2 linked regions of the Schizosaccharomyces pombe genome follow. The protein of the gene in region 1 binds, or shares a complex with, the protein of each later gene. Each region holds a gene or a part of one and is shown on either strand. Other genes may lie near its edges.

Region 1 (9,849 bases):
AAAAGGTTCATTAAGCAAATGTAGCGGAAATAACAACTAATGATCATTGAGTATAGCCGGTGCTGGACATCTCTAATAAAGCGATGTCAACTTCTATTTGAAATTAACGGCAAAGCTCTTTTCAAACCAGCCATGAATTTTGCAGTTATCATCAACCCTAACAGCATTATAATTTACACAAATGTAATATAATGCTTGTTTATTTTATTTCGAGGTTCATAAAGTCAGATAACGTATGCTTTTTCAATTCATGACAATCCTGCACAGCAAAATAATGTGACAAATCTACATTGAATAGCTTTAATAAAAGGAAAAAGAAATTAATGAATTCAGTCTATAAAAGTAAACCAGATCGACATTTATACGCAGATTAGATTGAAGACAAAGGCAAGGAAGAAATGTATAGAAAAAGACAAGATTGCAAGCATTGCCAACTTCCTAAACAAAAAAAAATACAAATATCAAACTTAGGATCAAGCGATATAACTTTACCTACCCAAATATCCACAGCTTTTTAGGAGTAATATCGATTATGTTTCACACAGGTAGCATAGATTCAATAATAATTGAAAAAAAGCCAAAGATTAAGTGCAATAAAACAAATATAATAAAAGATTGGTGGTTTCAGCCTTAAGCTTATGAATTAAACACAATTAATATTTGTCTGGGGCCTGCAAAACCACCTATAATATAAGTGTCACAATTAGTTTATATAGCAATGTATATTAGAAAAATTAAAGAAGGAATTAGATGATTATCCACCACCTCTGTAACAGAACACCGCATATAAAATAAACACATTCTTCCATTGAAAACAACCGTAACTAGCACGGTTAAGGAGGCAGACTATGCTTAGATAATATATACACATACATAGAGCATAATTGTATAGGTAATTATGTAAAAGGAGTGGCATCCAGTGGCTTGTGTATAATAAAAATAAAGACAAGATGAGGGGAAATAACCAAATGCATTAATAATGGTAATACTATTATTATTAATGCACATCAATGAACCCTCTCACGATATTCATCCCACAAAACCTGACAACGGTTCTCCACCCAACACCCAGCAAAATGTATAACCAAATGACCTTCTTTCCAGCCCATTTCCGGCTGGCCAACAGGGTAAGAATTAATAAGGGTTTGAGGTAAAATTCCTATTATAGCAGCAATTTCCGGGTGATATCTAACAAAATATCCCAAAAGGGCCTGTTCATGATCCGCAACCTTATTTTCTCTAAAGGATTTATCGCCCCATAAGTCCAAAAACAGAGCCATCATGGGCGACCTTCTAACAAAGAAACTTCCCGCGTTTAAGCCATTCAAATCTTGAGAAATCAATAGCCCTAAAGAACGAGCACTGTCAACAGTATAGGAACTTGGGGTGAGACGTTCGAGATCAGCACTAAATGGAGATATCATAGGTTCATTCTTCATTAACTTTTCCACTAAAACGTCAGGTGACAAAATATGTTCTTGAATAGAGAGTTCTGTGTTCAAAATTAACGCATCTTGGTCCAACCACCAAATCCATTTCGCATGAGGATGCTTATTCATTGTTTGTATAATAGCGGGCATTTTGGCCCACACTGGAGGAATGTTCATTTGGCTTACATTAACATATTCAAAGCCATAGTTGTGATGCTTTGCGTAGTTAATTCGGTTTTCTATGCATTGATTAAATGTTTCAGGTGCCATATTGCCACTTGAACGTCCATCACTCGCTAAGAGGATTACTATTTCATGGGATTTGGGCTCTTGAGGATCATCCTCGTTAATTGTCGCTTGATGATACGTCGTGCTAAGGCCTTGCATATCTTCATCCAGAGGTACTAAGTAGTCGTATTCTTGTACACTTGGTTTGGAAAATACATCTTGTAAACGTTCTAAAGCAGGTGAAGCAGAAAAAGAGTTTCCAAATTGGAAGTAAATGAGAAAAGAGCTAATCCCAATGATTAACAACACGAATATAACACGAGATAACTTCCACTGTAGGACTGCCATTTTAAAGATTAGCAGATGTTAAATGCAAATTAATAAAAAAATAAAAAATAAAATTTAGTCTTTTAGAGACAAGAGAAACTCTTTTTCAAGTTTCACAAATATAAACTGAGATTGGATAAAAGCAAAACAATAAGATACCAAGAATGGATCAGAAATTATGAATGAAATGGGAAACTTTCTACTCTTTCTCGGTAGAAAATTAGAAAGCCGTTTTAAAAATTAAAATGAGATTTGTGATATTCCAAAGAATACTACGTTTGAAACACGAATCTTCGCCCGTTGACTCAAGAAACGAGAGAAAACAGTAAAAAGAAATTGAAAATATAATGTAAATTATAATAAAAAAATATGAATGAATTAGATTCTTTAAAAAATGATTAACCAGATGGACCTGGAATTAAAGGCAGTGTGTAGTGGAAGGATTGAAATTACCGCATCATGGAGTCAATCATCATAAATTTACGGTTTCCTCTACTTATCGTATCCTATTTATAATAAAAGAAGAAAAAGAAGAAAAATCTGTATGGTAATGATTTATGTTCAAAATAATGAGTTGTTCCTTTAAAATCACGTTTCCAAACTTTTAATGACATGATTCACAGTACTTAAACATTTTAACCAGTTTTATACGTTGGGACAAATAACAGGAATGGCTTAATTCAGCAATACGTCTAAATCAATGTCATGATTGAATGGGAAAATAATCAAACGATTCAAATTGTTGAAACAGGTAAAGCAGATCAAGTACTGGAATGCGGACTGAAGTCCAATTCGAGAATGGTTACAACTATGAAATGAGAATTAATTTACTGAAAAGAATACAGTATCAATGGAATAGCTTTCCTGATAATGTGAAAGCTGTTTAAAGAGTATTCTATGTGTCTAGAGTGCAGACTCGTGGATTTTCACAGTAATGAATAAGAAATGTTAAACTAAAAATATCAATTGTTGTTATTATCTTGATTTTTCATATATCTGTTAAACTCCCGCTTTCCGATTTTCTTTTTGGGTCAACTCATAAATGTATATGTGTGAGTAACTGAAATGATCACGAAACAAGCGGAAAGCTGAAAGATAGGGATACTCATTTCAGATCTTTTTGATTCTTCATTTTTTGGAAGTCACCAAGCTCTTTTGGTCAATATTCCTTCGTTCAACTTCGTATTCTTATAAATGGACTAGCGATGAGGCAAAAATCTAGCAATGTTAATTGCTAGAAATGCAATTAAGTTAAAGCAAACTTAAGCTAAGAATTCAGGACTAAGGTCACTCAAAAAGGTTCTTCATAAGATCCTCTATACTTAGTCAAAAAAACAAACTATATGCAACAGGATTGTCACAGCTATTTTTTCAAAAATGAATGATAGATAAATGTCAAAAAAGCTCAATCATCCTATTTACAAAAGTTTTATACATGTCTTTCAGGAACGTATCCGAGCACTAATGCACCACTCCGACATTGAGTATCTTTCGGTTTGCGCTAATCTGATCTAATAATTTAAATGACTTCTAATAGCATAGAATCGTCTTAAAATTAAACTCATTAGCGAGAGATCGCATTTGAGTTTGTAAATAAAAACAGGTTGAGTAAAGGGGGTATCCGTCAAAAGAGGATAAATTTCGTTCTTCTTCTACTTTGAATATTATTTTAGTTTCTTTTTTAAAAGCCATGAATTCAAGTGACTGAAGCATCTATCCTCGATCAAATTTAACATACACAGCTAGTTCACACAATCTTTCCTCACCACCATACCTGCTATATTTTTTCTTTCAACAACCAACTCCATGTCGCGTTTTTCAATAGAAGGGAAGTCTTTGAAATTAGATGCAATTACAACTGAAGACGAGAAGTCTGTATTTGCTGTTCTGTTAGAAGATGATTCTGTAAAGGAAATTGTATTGTCTGGTAACACAATTGGAACCGAAGCTGCTAGATGGTTGTCAGAGAATATTGCCTCAAAAAAAGATTTAGAAATTGCAGAGTTTAGTGATATCTTTACTGGACGTGTCAAAGATGAAATTCCTGAGGCTTTACGTCTGTTGCTACAAGCTTTACTCAAGTGCCCAAAACTACATACTGTAAGATTGAGCGATAATGCCTTTGGCCCTACTGCACAGGAGCCCTTGATTGACTTTCTTTCAAAACACACACCTTTGGAGCATCTTTACCTACACAATAATGGACTCGGTCCTCAAGCTGGCGCAAAAATTGCTCGTGCCTTGCAAGAGCTGGCGGTCAACAAGAAAGCTAAAAATGCACCTCCCTTGCGTTCCATTATTTGTGGAAGAAATCGTTTAGAAAATGGGAGTATGAAAGAATGGGCTAAAACTTTCCAGAGCCACCGTTTGCTACATACAGTGAAAATGGTGCAAAATGGTATCCGTCCCGAAGGTATTGAACACTTATTGCTTGAAGGATTAGCATATTGCCAAGAGCTAAAGGTACTCGATCTTCAAGATAACACATTTACGCACTTGGGCTCTAGCGCTCTCGCTATCGCGTTGAAAAGCTGGCCCAACCTTCGAGAACTAGGCCTCAACGATTGTCTCTTATCTGCTCGCGGTGCTGCCGCAGTTGTAGATGCTTTTTCTAAATTAGAAAATATTGGGCTTCAAACGTTACGCTTACAGTATAACGAGATAGAGCTGGATGCTGTCCGGACCCTAAAAACTGTGATTGATGAGAAAATGCCGGATCTTTTATTCCTTGAATTAAATGGAAACAGATTTTCGGAAGAAGACGATGTTGTTGATGAAATACGTGAAGTCTTTAGCACCCGTGGTCGTGGTGAACTAGATGAGCTTGATGATATGGAGGAACTTACCGACGAGGAGGAGGAGGATGAAGAAGAAGAAGCTGAGTCTCAAAGCCCTGAGCCGGAGACTTCTGAAGAAGAAAAAGAAGACAAAGAACTTGCTGATGAGCTATCAAAAGCTCATATTTAGAGCAACTACTTTCCCTCTCGAACCCTGCTCCGCTGTTTCCGAAATTTTTTAACATATTTCTATTGTTCATGCTAGGCGGTAATGAACGATTGTGGTCAACGGATGGTCTATATCGACCATTCGATTTCCTTCTGCATTTTTATCAACATTCTGTCTTTTTACGCGGCAGGACCGATAAATAGTATTAGATTAAATCTGTATATGACAGAAAAAAAATTCCCCTTTCAAAAATGGCGAAAAGGTTCTTTACGTTTTATTAATAACCCACTTTAATTAAGTATTGGGTCAATATAATATGGTTTGGATTGTATCTGTGTAAAGTTGTTTTGTTGTTATGTCGTAAAGCCTGAACTATTTTTTCAGTATGTCTGTAAACCTCGAGATAAATTTTCTGTAAGTCGCAGTTAACTTTTAAGAATGTGGGGATTCCATTACTTGAGCTTGGTGTTTCCAAATATGATTGTACTACTGCAAGGACGAATTAGAAGCTTCACCTAGCATAGTACATACTCTACGTCCAACGCCATCTATTAATGTCAAATCCACCAACTCGGCCAACTTTGTATAATTTGGTGAATGCTGATGGTGAATTGTCTTACAGAGCTCGTGATTTAGTACAGGATTTTTCTGTTCCAATTCCACATGAACTGCCGGATCCTGTAAGTTCACAGCTTCTGCCAATACTTGTTTAACTAATCTTTTTATGTTTAGGATTTAGTTCATAGCATCCAGGATTTTGCAACAGAATACATGCTTGCGACAGGGAAAAAGTCATTCGAGTGTTTGGATGAAAGTGCTTTATTGGGGTTGGGATATTTGGTGACTGAATGGATGGATGCTATGGTTACTGATTGTTTGGAAGAATTTGAAGAAAGATGAATTATCCTTGTACATTTTACTTTTCATTCGTTTGTTTCGAGATGACTCCGTTACATTTGTATGACTAACTTTGATGATTTTTCTATATGGCGTAAAGTTGTTAAACAGCTATGAATGCGTATTTGTGTATTGAAATTTTTATCTTTTGATAATTGTTTAAAATCAACATTACAGATGTAATTACATTGCTTGACATGTATGCAGGCTGCTGAAAAGCGAGAAGCAACGATGCTGTTAAGATTTTAACAAGCTTTGCGATACATTAGCAAACATATTAGGACTTCAACTATTTTTTTTTTGCAAAGCCTTTACTATTAAATCCGAATACTGTTACCAGTGAATCGTAAAGACAATCACTTCAACTACCCAAAGCATAATCCAATATACATTTTATTACTTGGTATTTATACACGCTATCTAATGATTACACTTCAAAGGGGTCGAATTAAATACGTAGTCCATGCGTATTTATTAAAATGCAAAATTAAGAAATGCCAATTAGGTTGTTTCATATCGATGAATGAAACGAATGACAAGTGACATCTAAGAAGAGATCATACTTTAAAAAGTAGTCCATATTATTTTAAACAGAAGTGAAAAAACGAGTGTTAACTTTTCAAGCAATTTCTTGCTGAGACAATGGTGGGGGTGCTTTAGCTTTCCAAAATGCGGAAATCCATGTCCATATGACAGCAACGAAAATAAAGGCAAACAACAAAAAGAAAGTAATAAATGCAACAATTTCTCTATAAGAGGGTTCCAATACAGGTTGGGTAGGGGGTAGGACTGTAGGAATCGGTATATGAGACGTTGATGTAGGTGTAGCTGTGGCAGATACGGTGTAAGAAGTAAATGAAGTAGACGTAGGGCTCAACAAGGTACTTGAGTTAGTCAGATCGCTATTTGGTTCAGAGTATATTCCCAAGACCATCTCCTTTGGAAGCTCAAGAGTGTCATAAGGGAGTGGTGCAGTATTAGAAGGGTTTTCAGATTCTCCCCACAAAGCCAACTGCCAATTTTCAAACGTACCTTCATGCTTTCCACCACTTCGATCATTAACCAGTAACTTCCAAACCCCCTCTGGAGGTTCGGCCCAATGCTGCACAGTCATGAACGTCCAGTCTAAAAACCCCTTACTATTCTCATCATACGGTCGTTCACTGGCAAGGATTGAACGAATGCCGGAAGGGCTTTCCAAGAGAATCTCCAATGCTCCTCTTCGGTTAAAAGGTATACACACCCTAACAGTGACATGTTCTAATCTTTTGAAGTTGCTTTTCTCAATCATATCCTTAGTAACGGTAAATTCGCTTACCATTTCAGTTATTGTCTCATTGTTAACACTCCCGAATGATTTATTAACATTAATTTCTGGAGCAATGAGCCAGGTTTGTGGATTCACGACCTGCCAATCCTTAGCCACCTCGACGAACTTCGATGCATCCAATTTACCAAACCCAAAATGATGGGAGAACTGGAATCCTGCTGGAGTCTTTTGCCATTCTGCATTTTGAGAAGGGCTATCAAAAGGAGATGCTGAATACACTGTAATATGCTGAATGTCTCTCCAACTAAGGTCAGGACGAATCGAAAGCGCCAAAGCATATACAGCAGATGCTAACGGAGCAGCCGCTGAGGTACCACCATGACTTCTAGTACATGTGCCTTCAGGATTTGTAGTTAATATAGACAAATGTGAGCCACTACTATATGCTGAAACTAATTGCGCAGCACACACCTCACTGTAAAATGGGATTTTATGTTCAGCATCAACAGCACCAATGGTAGCACTGAATATGCTATTCGTGTAGCCATCAAAATTGCAATTATCATGATAATGGCCTCCATTTCCAGAAGCGAACACAAAAATCGACCCAAGACCATTTCGGCCATTAAGGACACCGTTCATCAACGCACGACGAGTAGCCGTATTAGGAGCATCCATTGCTCTTCCATCATCTGCAGGGCCCCAGGAACATGAATATATATGATTTGTTTGAAAGCCATAATTCAGTGCTTCCGATTCAACAGCATCAGTAATAGGGGCCGAAAGAATACGAAGTCCAGCGACCTTGGCGCGTGGAGCTATGCCTACGCCACAAACGTCGTTCCAAGCTGCAGCCACTTCTCCAGCACAACGGGTGCCGTGCTGATCATCTGATAACTTTGGCAAAGGGTCAGCAATGTTATCATTGAAGTCCCAAGAACCAAGCGAAGTGTAAGCAGCTTGCAAATCTGGATGTTTAAAATCAATTCCATCGTCTACAAATGCAACGGTAACATTCTCACCGAAGTAACCGGCGTCCCAGACTTCACGTAGATTCAGATCGTGTCCAGGATTATTCGAGTTGAATATGTGCCATTGGCCATAAAAGAGAGGATCCGAAATTCCAAAATGATTAGAGAACTCATTCAGTAATTCATCAGATTCACTCGCATCCCGCTTGTAGCGCCATCTGGGCGTCTGGCGCTCCAATTCCAAGATTCCGGCATCAATGCCTCGTTTTCGAATTGAACTTTGGACTGAATCATCGCTCCCCTTATGTAGCTTAATTAAATGGTGATACTTCAAATTTAATAAAGGGCGCACATACTTAGCACCAATGGCTTCTGCTGCTACTACAGGATCAACTTCAGGTTCCACTTGAACTAGAAATAAATCATCGTTTTCTAATGGAGAGCAAGAAGAAACCAAAAACTGTAAAAATATTGCAAGAATTGGCCCACATAGCAAAGCAGGATGCATGGTGCTGGGACGGTGTATGCACTAGGTGGCTTAACAGATTATGGTGTCCACTGTACCATAGTGGTGGCTATGTACAATAAAACAGCCATTCGACTAAAACACATATAAAGTGTAAAGCTGTCAGTATTTAAACTTTTCCAATTAAGAAATACATGGCAAAAGTGAGCAATTGCTAAACCGTGTGTCTACTATAATACCATGTTATATATTACATTTCATCAATACAGAAAAATAGAGCATCTACTTGTTAATCATGAAATAACTTTAAGCATTTAATAGTAAAAAAAATATAAACGACGATGAAAACATTAAAAGTATGAAATTTAGAAACCATCTTCATCCTGGTCTTAGTAATATTACAAGTTTTCATGATTAAGTGTAAGATTTGAAAACAAAGGGTTAATTTATAATTAAAACAACTGTAGTCTGGATAAAGAAGGAATATAGTTAAAATGTAAAACCATGTGCCAGGTTGACTATTTAATTAGTTATGTGCATTTATTAGCTAGGCATGAACTTGATCCAAAAAAAAAAAATGAAAGTTGAGAATACGGATGAGATAGTATACTTTCGGAAGAAAATACTTTTATGGAATACTAGTACGAGACACTTGTCAAATTGTAAGCATGTTGACAAAATCAAGCTTTTGGTCTCTCCAATCGTATGTTTCTAGTCTGAGCAGGAATTCGTACACGGATGCCATCCAAATCTTTTCTTAAGAGTACTTGGCATCCCAATCTGCTTGTTTCCTCAAGACCAAATGCTAAATCAAGCATGTCTTCTTCATCTTCTTCCGGGGGATCCAAAAGTTCGTAATGCTCTGGATCTACGATAACATGGCAAGTCGAACATGCAACAGACCCTTCACAAGCGCCTTCTAAATCGATATTGTTAGCATGAGCGAGATCTAAAATACTATCACCTTCATTTCCCTCAATCATGATTTCACGTCCTTCAGGCGTGACGAAAAAAACTTTGATTCCAGTGCCCGGCAAAGGCTTTTTAATTTCGGAATGGAATGATGGGCGGAATGTATGGAATTGGCGTTGTTGAGTCAAAATGGAAGATGAAATGCTACTTTTGGGAGGAGAAGAGATTAATTTTGTCCATGAGCGGATGTTTTTTAAAGCGTATTCTGGATGCAAGCGCTGAGCAAGTGATAAGGCCGCGGTTAATGTAACAAGACTACCGGCTTGATGAAGGGCTGCCAAAGGTACAGGGACAACATAGATTAGAGTCATAATACCCAAAGTAGCTTGAGCAGTTACAACG
Region 2 (7,699 bases), on another chromosome or scaffold:
ATTGAAACTTCAACGTTATTTGACTAAAACTTGTTAATTTACATGTCTGCAAGATTAATCCAGCATATTAAATAAATTAGTTGACTTATGTCAAACAAATAATACATTCTTGATATTATTAGAAAAAAAAAAGAAAATTGAATAACTTGTGAGAAATGATATTGTTATTATTTTAGATTATGTCCTTTGAAATACAATAACATGCTAAGGCACTTACTACTTAAGCCTTTATTACTTTAATGTGCTAACAATCTTCTGTATCCTTAGACGTTAAATTTTCCCTTATTAAAAAATAAAAAAATAAAAAAAAAATATAGGAAATGAAACAACCGCTGATGACTTATTCTGTCTTTTATGGCGATAATTTTCTGATCATTCACATGTGTTGAGATTTTTCGGAAATACTCTTCCATTACCTTTGATTTTAGCAAAATGGCTTGCTTAAAACAACAAATTTTTTTAATTAATCAAATTTATTTTAAATCTATTACTCGCTGCCGGTTGATATTATATCAAGCTAATTTTCATTTTATTTCTGAAAAAACATCCAAAATTAAAATCATTTTTCGCAGGAGCATTAGCGGAGGACCCTCAATGTAATGCTAATTTTTCCAAAACGACACTTTCTTTTATGAGGTCAGATAAACAACCCAACAGTCAGGTAAAAGGTATAAAGTGCTAGATTATAAATGAGTACATCCCAAAATTATTATATATTAACGAAATGCCCATCCATCAATAAAATTATTATATACAATAAACCAAAATCAACCAATGTGAAACAAAACAGTTTGCTTTTTTCCGTTTTTTTTCTTTGAAACACCCATCGTATTACTATTACGATTGGAAGAAGTATTTGGTGTAGACCCCCATGAATCAACGGGACGAGCCTGCTTTTTTCCGAGTTGAACAGAAATTCTCTTCGAGGTAGAAGGAGGAAGTGCGGGAAAATCTTCTTCAGATCTTGCATTTAACGCAGATGCACGTGCTTTGCGCACACCCCAAGAAGGAGTATTTGCAGCTGAGCTGTTCGTTGGCCTTGAGGTAATATTTGCTAGGTTTATAGAAGATGATGGAGCAGACAAAGAAGGCCCATCGTGAGCTGCTGCACGCTCAATACGATTCCAAACACTAGCTGTTTGAGCAGCAGTCCTATTTGATCTCTTCAAGCGCAAAAGATTAGAGTTAGTAGTACCTATACGAGTATCATCTTTCGCATTCAGTATTTTCCATTCCTGCCAAGCTTCCAACAATTCCCTTGACTTCTCTTTATTTTCTAGAAGATTTGCTATTTGGTTGAACACGCCCGACAATTGCTCATGAGGCTTTGCAACTAATTTTGTAATGCGAGCAACAGCTTCACGAGCGGGCATAACATTACCACGGAAGGAAGAAACAGCAAATTTAAAGTCATTAATTTTGTGATCATCGTAATTCGTCAATTTTTGCATCCGATCAATTACTTGTTGGTGTTGTGCTTGCTCGGAAGAGGCCATCGGGGATTTAGTGCCCTTGGGTGGAGATGGAACATGATTTCTTGAAGCAGACTTACCAGACAGACGAGGCGCGGAGACAGGTACTGAGGGTGCGGAAGAGCTATTTTGATTAGCAACCTCGGCTAAAGAGGGGAAATCTTCGTTTCTTAACGTTCTAGTTTTTCCTCTGCTGATGGTTCTAGTAGATGTCGCTGGGCGGGCAGATGTAGGCGCCGGATTTGATAACGTGAAACCAAAATCACGATGGCGAGCTTGTTGCTCGCGAACATATTCTTCTTGTCGTAAGTGAGCAATCTCTCCACGGGAAAGGTGTAGGTTAGAGAGTGAGTTGGCAGTCTCATTCACTGAAGTAGATTGTTCGGATGGTGTGGAAGAAGTTCGTTCACGACGGTTCCTGCCGGACGCGCCGGGTGGGTCGTAACTAAATTGAGGAATAATTCTTCGTGCTTCTCGAAGTTCGCGTTGAGTAAAGTTGTGGGGATGCTCATCCAACTGATGCGCTTTCAAATCTATTTCAGTTCCAAAAACAACAAATTTACGTTCCAAACACTCCCTTTCACGACAAATATAATGATCTTTTTCAAAGTGGCGCTCTAACGAATCATAATTTTTAAAGTACTGATGCGTCGGCCTTCCTGCAACTTGGTCACAGATGTAACATCGTTCATGTTTTTCACGGCAATGCTTAAACAACTCATCATCATCATAAAAATGGGTATTACAAAACTCACACTTCGGGTGACCCTTGAATCCAGTAATCTCTAAATCGGATCCCTGATCTCCAACTTCATTGTGCTTTGTCAATCCTTTCTTGGAAAATAGCGTGTGTTCATGGGTAAAAACCTTTTTGTTCTTAACACAAAGATCACAGAAAAACTTATGGTGTTTGACCTTCGCATGCAGCTTTAAATCAAACCAGCCTTTGCATGTGATATCGCAAGCGTCTTCTGGACAGTTGAATTGAAGCAAGAGGTTGGATTCTTCTTGAGCATGCTCGTCAGAATACACAATTCCAAGTTTCTCATCTTGGAAAGGAAGTTTTGCTAAATCGACATCATGAATATCGATTTCATGATCTTTAGTAATGAGAACCGTATCCCATTCGGTTTTACAAAACGTACATTCCTTCGTTTTGTATAGCGCTCGCAATCTCAAAGCACAAACATGACACATTCCTAATTAAGTTAGATTAAACATAGTTGTAACATTTTTAAAACATGATACAAGACATACGATGATTGCAAGGAAGGACGCAGCTGTAAGTAATACCTTCAGCACAAATGAAGCAAATTTGCTCATCCTCATCCTGTTCTTCTTTGGAAGCATCAACAGTAGCGACATTACTGACAGGATCTGTGCCAACCGGCTCTAAGCAAACTGCATTTTTTGGAGTTTCTACCGACCTAGAGCTTACCGGTTTCTCTTTACTTTCTTGAAATGTGTTAAAAGGAATATGTCAACAAGGAAGTTACGTACGATTCCTATTAGTTTTTTTATTATGAGTCCTAGAATTCTTTTTTTCCGATGCTCTGTTGTGCTCCTTATTATTTAAATTGGGGCCCGAAGGCGACATTTTGATTGTTTATAGAAGATTGCGTGTATGGCGCTGGGTAAATAAAATTTCGTAAAGCGAGCTGCTGTATGCTAAAAAAAACAGTTTAGCTGGAGACCTCTGAATTAGCTGGAATATCGCAAACTAAGAATATATTTATAATTTCAACATTATTGGAAAGTTTTTAAGCTTCTGAATTGATTTTTGAAACGTGCATCGAATATTTTGTTAGAAACGTATATAGCATTGAATGTACAGCGGAAGTAAATAGCAATCTCTTATAAAGGGCTTATATAATTTACTAATTTGTTTTGAAAAAAATATTCCCCTAACTTTTTCGCCATAATCTTTTTACTTTGTGCTTAAACAAGAAGTCGTGTATGTATGTAAGCAAGCGTTGTCCTGTCTACAAATAAATGCAATTGTTACAACTGTTAAATGTGGCTTCATCTAAAGTGTGATTGGATCTTTAGAAGTCGTAAACACCATGAAATGATTCAATCAATAATAAGTATATTCATTAAGGACTAATATAAAAGAGAAGAACACTTTCCACTCAGTCTAATCAATTTATAAGTCTTTTGACGGTTATAAGCAGCAATCTTCCAAAAAAAAAACGACCCACAAGCACACAAAAATGTTTATGTAAACATACTCTAACAAACGGATGACAGGTTTGCAACCCCAAAGAAAATCCCAAAATAAAATAATAAACAAATTAAAAAGACAGTACATTATTTGAGACTTAAAAGCATATATCCAGAAAACATCCATTTGCGTATAATTTAATATATACACTATAGACACAAGACGAGTACTAGTCATACAACCAAGCCATATCTTAGATCATCCAAAACTGTAAAGCAAACATCATATTATGGGTTTGTAATACGCAAGGGTAGTAAATAAAATTTATTATTGATGATATGGCTTCGACAGCTCCAAGCGACGGTGGTTTCGTAAACAAAATTCCCCGACAATGGGCTGAAGTGAATCATTTTTTATTTCAATGATATTATAGAGCAAAGCAGCGGTAAAATAATTAAAGGTGCGGTGAAGAAAGTGTTAATACAATACATGAAAATCTCCATCATGCACAACAGTTCATTTAGAAAAGAAAATCAATATGCTATATGAATTTATAAAAAAAAGCACAAAGATATCCATAAGGAATAGGTGATAAGAAATATTCGTAAAATCACAGTCAGTCTAACGTAAATTACCTCTTGTAGCAACCCAAGGTCTAAAGTCAGCAACCTGAACTTTTGTTTTCACACTGCATTTAAGATCAGAAAGTTGTAATGCAAAATACGATATCTGATTATGCGTGGAGACTCTCTAGACATACATAGCCTCTAGTATTAAAGCACGGATATGACATGGACATAGGCAAAATCTGTTGAGGAAAAACAGGTAAGCAAGCGAGTATTGAACGAAATAAACATTTATTGCATGCAATGAAAGCAAAAAACTTGAATGATTTTTGGAGACAAAAAAAAAAGGGATTATTGCAAGATATTATATGAAAAAAAGTTTTGGCTGTTTTATATGGTCATGCAGCAAACACAAAGGCTCAAGCGGTGGATTCGGCGGTAGGAGGCTCGACCAACTCTTTTTCCTCCTGCTTGGGAAGATCGTTCGGAGCCGCTGGTTCTTCATTTTTAGGCTGAGGTTTGGGCAATTGATCATCAGGAATCTTCGTCATGAGATTTGTTAAGTACTATTAATTAAGTTAGCTTAGCTTCGGCAGCAGGTAACAAAGAGCAATGCGGAATGTTTTCCACAAGTAACCAAATGAAAAAAGTAGACAAGGAAAGTTACAATCGACAAAGTAAAAGTTTGTTGACAAACCTCCTTAAAACAATTGTGAACCCATCCATGATTAACTTACCTTGTTCATGGTAAACATATGCAAAGTGTCGACTTCGAAAACGCTTTTCAATTTGTCATCACAAAGAATTGTTCGCTTGTCGTTGGGATCTTGTAAGTCATGTGCTTTTATATACTCCCATAACTTCTTCACAGTTTGGGGACGAGATAACTACGTTAGTTAGCAATCAGCAGAGAAAGCGTGCAAATAAACATTTAGTATGTAAGCCTGCCTCTTTTTTCAAAACAACAAGATTTTGAATGGAACGAGTAGGCACGGCTTCCACACTACAACACCGCCTTACCTGTTCAAGACCCAAAAATTCGGCCAACTTAGGGGACAACTTCATAGGCTTATTCAGAGGATTGTTGGCAGGATCTTGGTTCCTCTTGCGTTTTCCACCCTCTTCTCCATCTTCCTTGCGTTTTCGGGTTCTCTTTGCTGGTTTCTTGCCTTCTTCAGTGCCATTTTCCGTCGCTCTCTTACCCTTGGTTTTGCGAGCGGGTGCTTGTTTTTCTACAAGTTTGGTTAATTATTATTTCTTGCATTATTATTTGCAAATTTCTTCCAGCAATATTCTCATCTTACCTAAACTCTCCTTCTCTGAAGGTGCGGCGGTTTCATCAAAGCATTTCAAAATCAGCGCATTCAAGTCTTTTTTATGCGCACTCAAATCTACCTTTCTTCTTTCTTCTAAAAGTTGACGAACTTGCTTCGCAGATACAGTTTGGCGATCAACTGTACCGAGAATTTGCTTAATGTCTGTTTCGTACTCTTCCATCGTTCTAGTTCTTTATACTACCACCTTACTGTGTTGGTCAAAGTATGGTGTAGTGAGACGGTGGTAGTGGATATAGATTACGGTAAAGAAGGAAAGAGCGCTGGTGTAGCTAAATGCGATTTTGAAAAACACGCTATTTTTACAGATGTAAATACATAAAGCTTCAATTTAATTTCTTGTAAAACTAAAAATAATGGAAATTATATATGTTATTTTGTGCTCTCATGTTAGCTTTGTTTACTATTAGAATGCTGCTTTTTGTAAATAACTGAACTTAGCCAAAACCAACACTTGTTCCAGTATGAGCGTTGGGAACGTTGGCAAGCAAAGGGAGAAAACAAAAGATTCATCAGCTAAAACAAAGCAGAAAACCCTCTTTGGGTTTTTCTCCAAAATCCCGAATGTGAAACAAGAGAAGTCGGATTCTACATTATCTAGTAGTTCGAATCACGACTCTAATCATGATACGCCTGCTGATGTTGACAACAGCTCCAATGTGAACAAAAACTCTTCGTCTCCGGAACGCGAATTGCCAACGAGTCCTTCTCATCATGCGAATACCGAGATAGATTCCAGTTCATCTATGCTTCCTCCTCCATCAAGTGATCCATTTTCCTCACCGCTTTCTAGCAGCCTACACCGATCATCTCCTAAACGCCCTCATGATTCTTTGGGCGAGGAGTCACCAGGTAAATTGCTTCGCACGTCTGTGAAGCAAGAGCCCGACTCTGAAGAAGAAATCGATTCTCCGACGAAAAAGAAAAGTTTTAAAAGTTTGGATACATCAATATTTCAAGCTGAAGATCAATTTCGTCATCCTGTCTCGTCGAAGCTGGAAAATTCGGAATTATCTGAAGTCGACAAGCCTTTTATAGCTTCTCGGCGTTCAAGGAAGGTATGGGTAATTGAGTGATACATATTACTTTAGAAGAATAAAAGGGGAAATACGCACTTTACCCCTATATTAACCAGATTTTTGTTTTAATTAATTATGACTAACAATATGCTAGCCTGTTTCCTACGCTGAAAGTGATGAAGACGAAGACTTCGACGATGCACCTACCAAAGGATCTCGTCATAAAAGAATCGTTTCTGATGACGAATCGGATGACTACGTTGAGCCCGATCATATTTCGGAAGCCTCATCTGAGGCATCCTTGCCTATTGATGAAGTCGAATCTATGGATGAGGATGTTGATGGATATTCAGATCATTCCGTTTCTGTGGCTGCTCCAATTCCCAAAAAGGAATCTCGAAAGGAGAGTTCCAATTCTTTGTATGAAAGTTATCGGCTAGGCTCTCAAATTGCCAGTCCAAGCCCTTCGGTCTCGGGTTCTGCATCTCCCACAAAATCGAATAAAAACGGTGTCCTGAACAGAGAAGAAAAAAGAAGGCAAAGAATGGAGGCATTTAAAAAAGAAAACAACGAACGTTACGAGTGGTTGCTAGATGTTCGAGATGCTGATCAAAATCGAGTGGGTGATCCTAATTATGATCCGCGCACATTGTATATCCCACCTTCAGCTTGGGCAACTTTCAAGCCATTTGAGAAACAATTTTGGAAAATTAAAAAGGACCTTATGGATACAGTTGTTTTTTTTCAGAAGGGAAAATTTTATGAGTTATATGAGAATGATGCCGCTATCGGACATCAGGTATTTTCCTTAAAGTTAACTGATAGAGTTAATATGAAGATGGTTGGAATTCCTGAAGCAAGTTTTGATTACTGGGCATCTCAATTCATTGCAAAGGGGTATCGTATAGCTCGAGTCGACCAATTGGAAACCGCTTTAGGTAAAGAAATAAAAGATCGTCAACGAACTCAGAAGGAAGAAAAAGTAGTTCAGCGAGGCCTTACCCAAGTCTTAACGAGCGGGACCCTTGTTGACGAGGCAATGCTGACTTCTGACTTGTCAACATATTGTATGGCTATTAAAGAAAGTCTTCAATCTGACAACGAAGAGCCTTCTTTTGGTATCTGCTTCATTGATACCTCGACT

What was found.
Region 2: rrn10 (region 1) and spp27 share a complex: the UniProt entries of both Schizosaccharomyces pombe proteins name them as parts of the UAF (upstream activation factor) complex.

Annotation. Positions count from the first base shown.
Region 1 is NC_003424.3:5,027,993-5,037,841, forward strand, and holds rrn10 (RNA polymerase I upstream activation factor complex subunit Rrn10), read left to right. Parts: upstream 1-5,444; 5' UTR 5,445-5,485; coding exon 5,486-5,611; exon of another isoform or gene 5,612-5,663; coding exon 5,664-5,831; 3' UTR 5,832-6,447; downstream 6,448-9,849. Other genes in the region: alpha-1,2-galactosyltransferase Gmh3, read right to left, coding at 1,008-2,006; RanGAP Rna1, read left to right, coding at 3,792-4,952; krp1 (kexin), read right to left, coding at 6,448-8,577; etp1 (monooxygenase-ferredoxin fusion protein), read right to left, coding at 9,216-9,454, 9,500-9,849. UniProt on the Schizosaccharomyces pombe protein: Component of the UAF (upstream activation factor) complex which interacts with the upstream element of the RNA polymerase I promoter and forms a stable preinitiation complex. UAF seems to stimulate basal transcription to a fully activated level.
Region 2 is NC_003421.2:1,829,983-1,837,681, reverse strand, and holds spp27 (RNA polymerase I upstream activation factor complex subunit Spp27), read right to left. Parts: upstream 5,700-7,699; coding exon 5,507-5,699; exon of another isoform or gene 5,435-5,506; coding exon 5,223-5,434; exon of another isoform or gene 5,090-5,222; coding exon 4,940-5,089; exon of another isoform or gene 4,886-4,939; intron 4,769-4,885; coding exon 4,622-4,768; 3' UTR 3,513-4,621; downstream 1-3,512. Other genes in the region: hel2 (ubiquitin-protein ligase E3), read right to left, coding at 768-2,671, 2,730-2,927, 2,973-3,069; msh6 (DNA mismatch repair protein), read left to right, coding at 6,001-6,594, 6,710-7,699. UniProt on the Schizosaccharomyces pombe protein: Component of the UAF (upstream activation factor) complex which interacts with the upstream element of the RNA polymerase I promoter and forms a stable preinitiation complex. UAF seems to stimulate basal transcription to a fully activated level.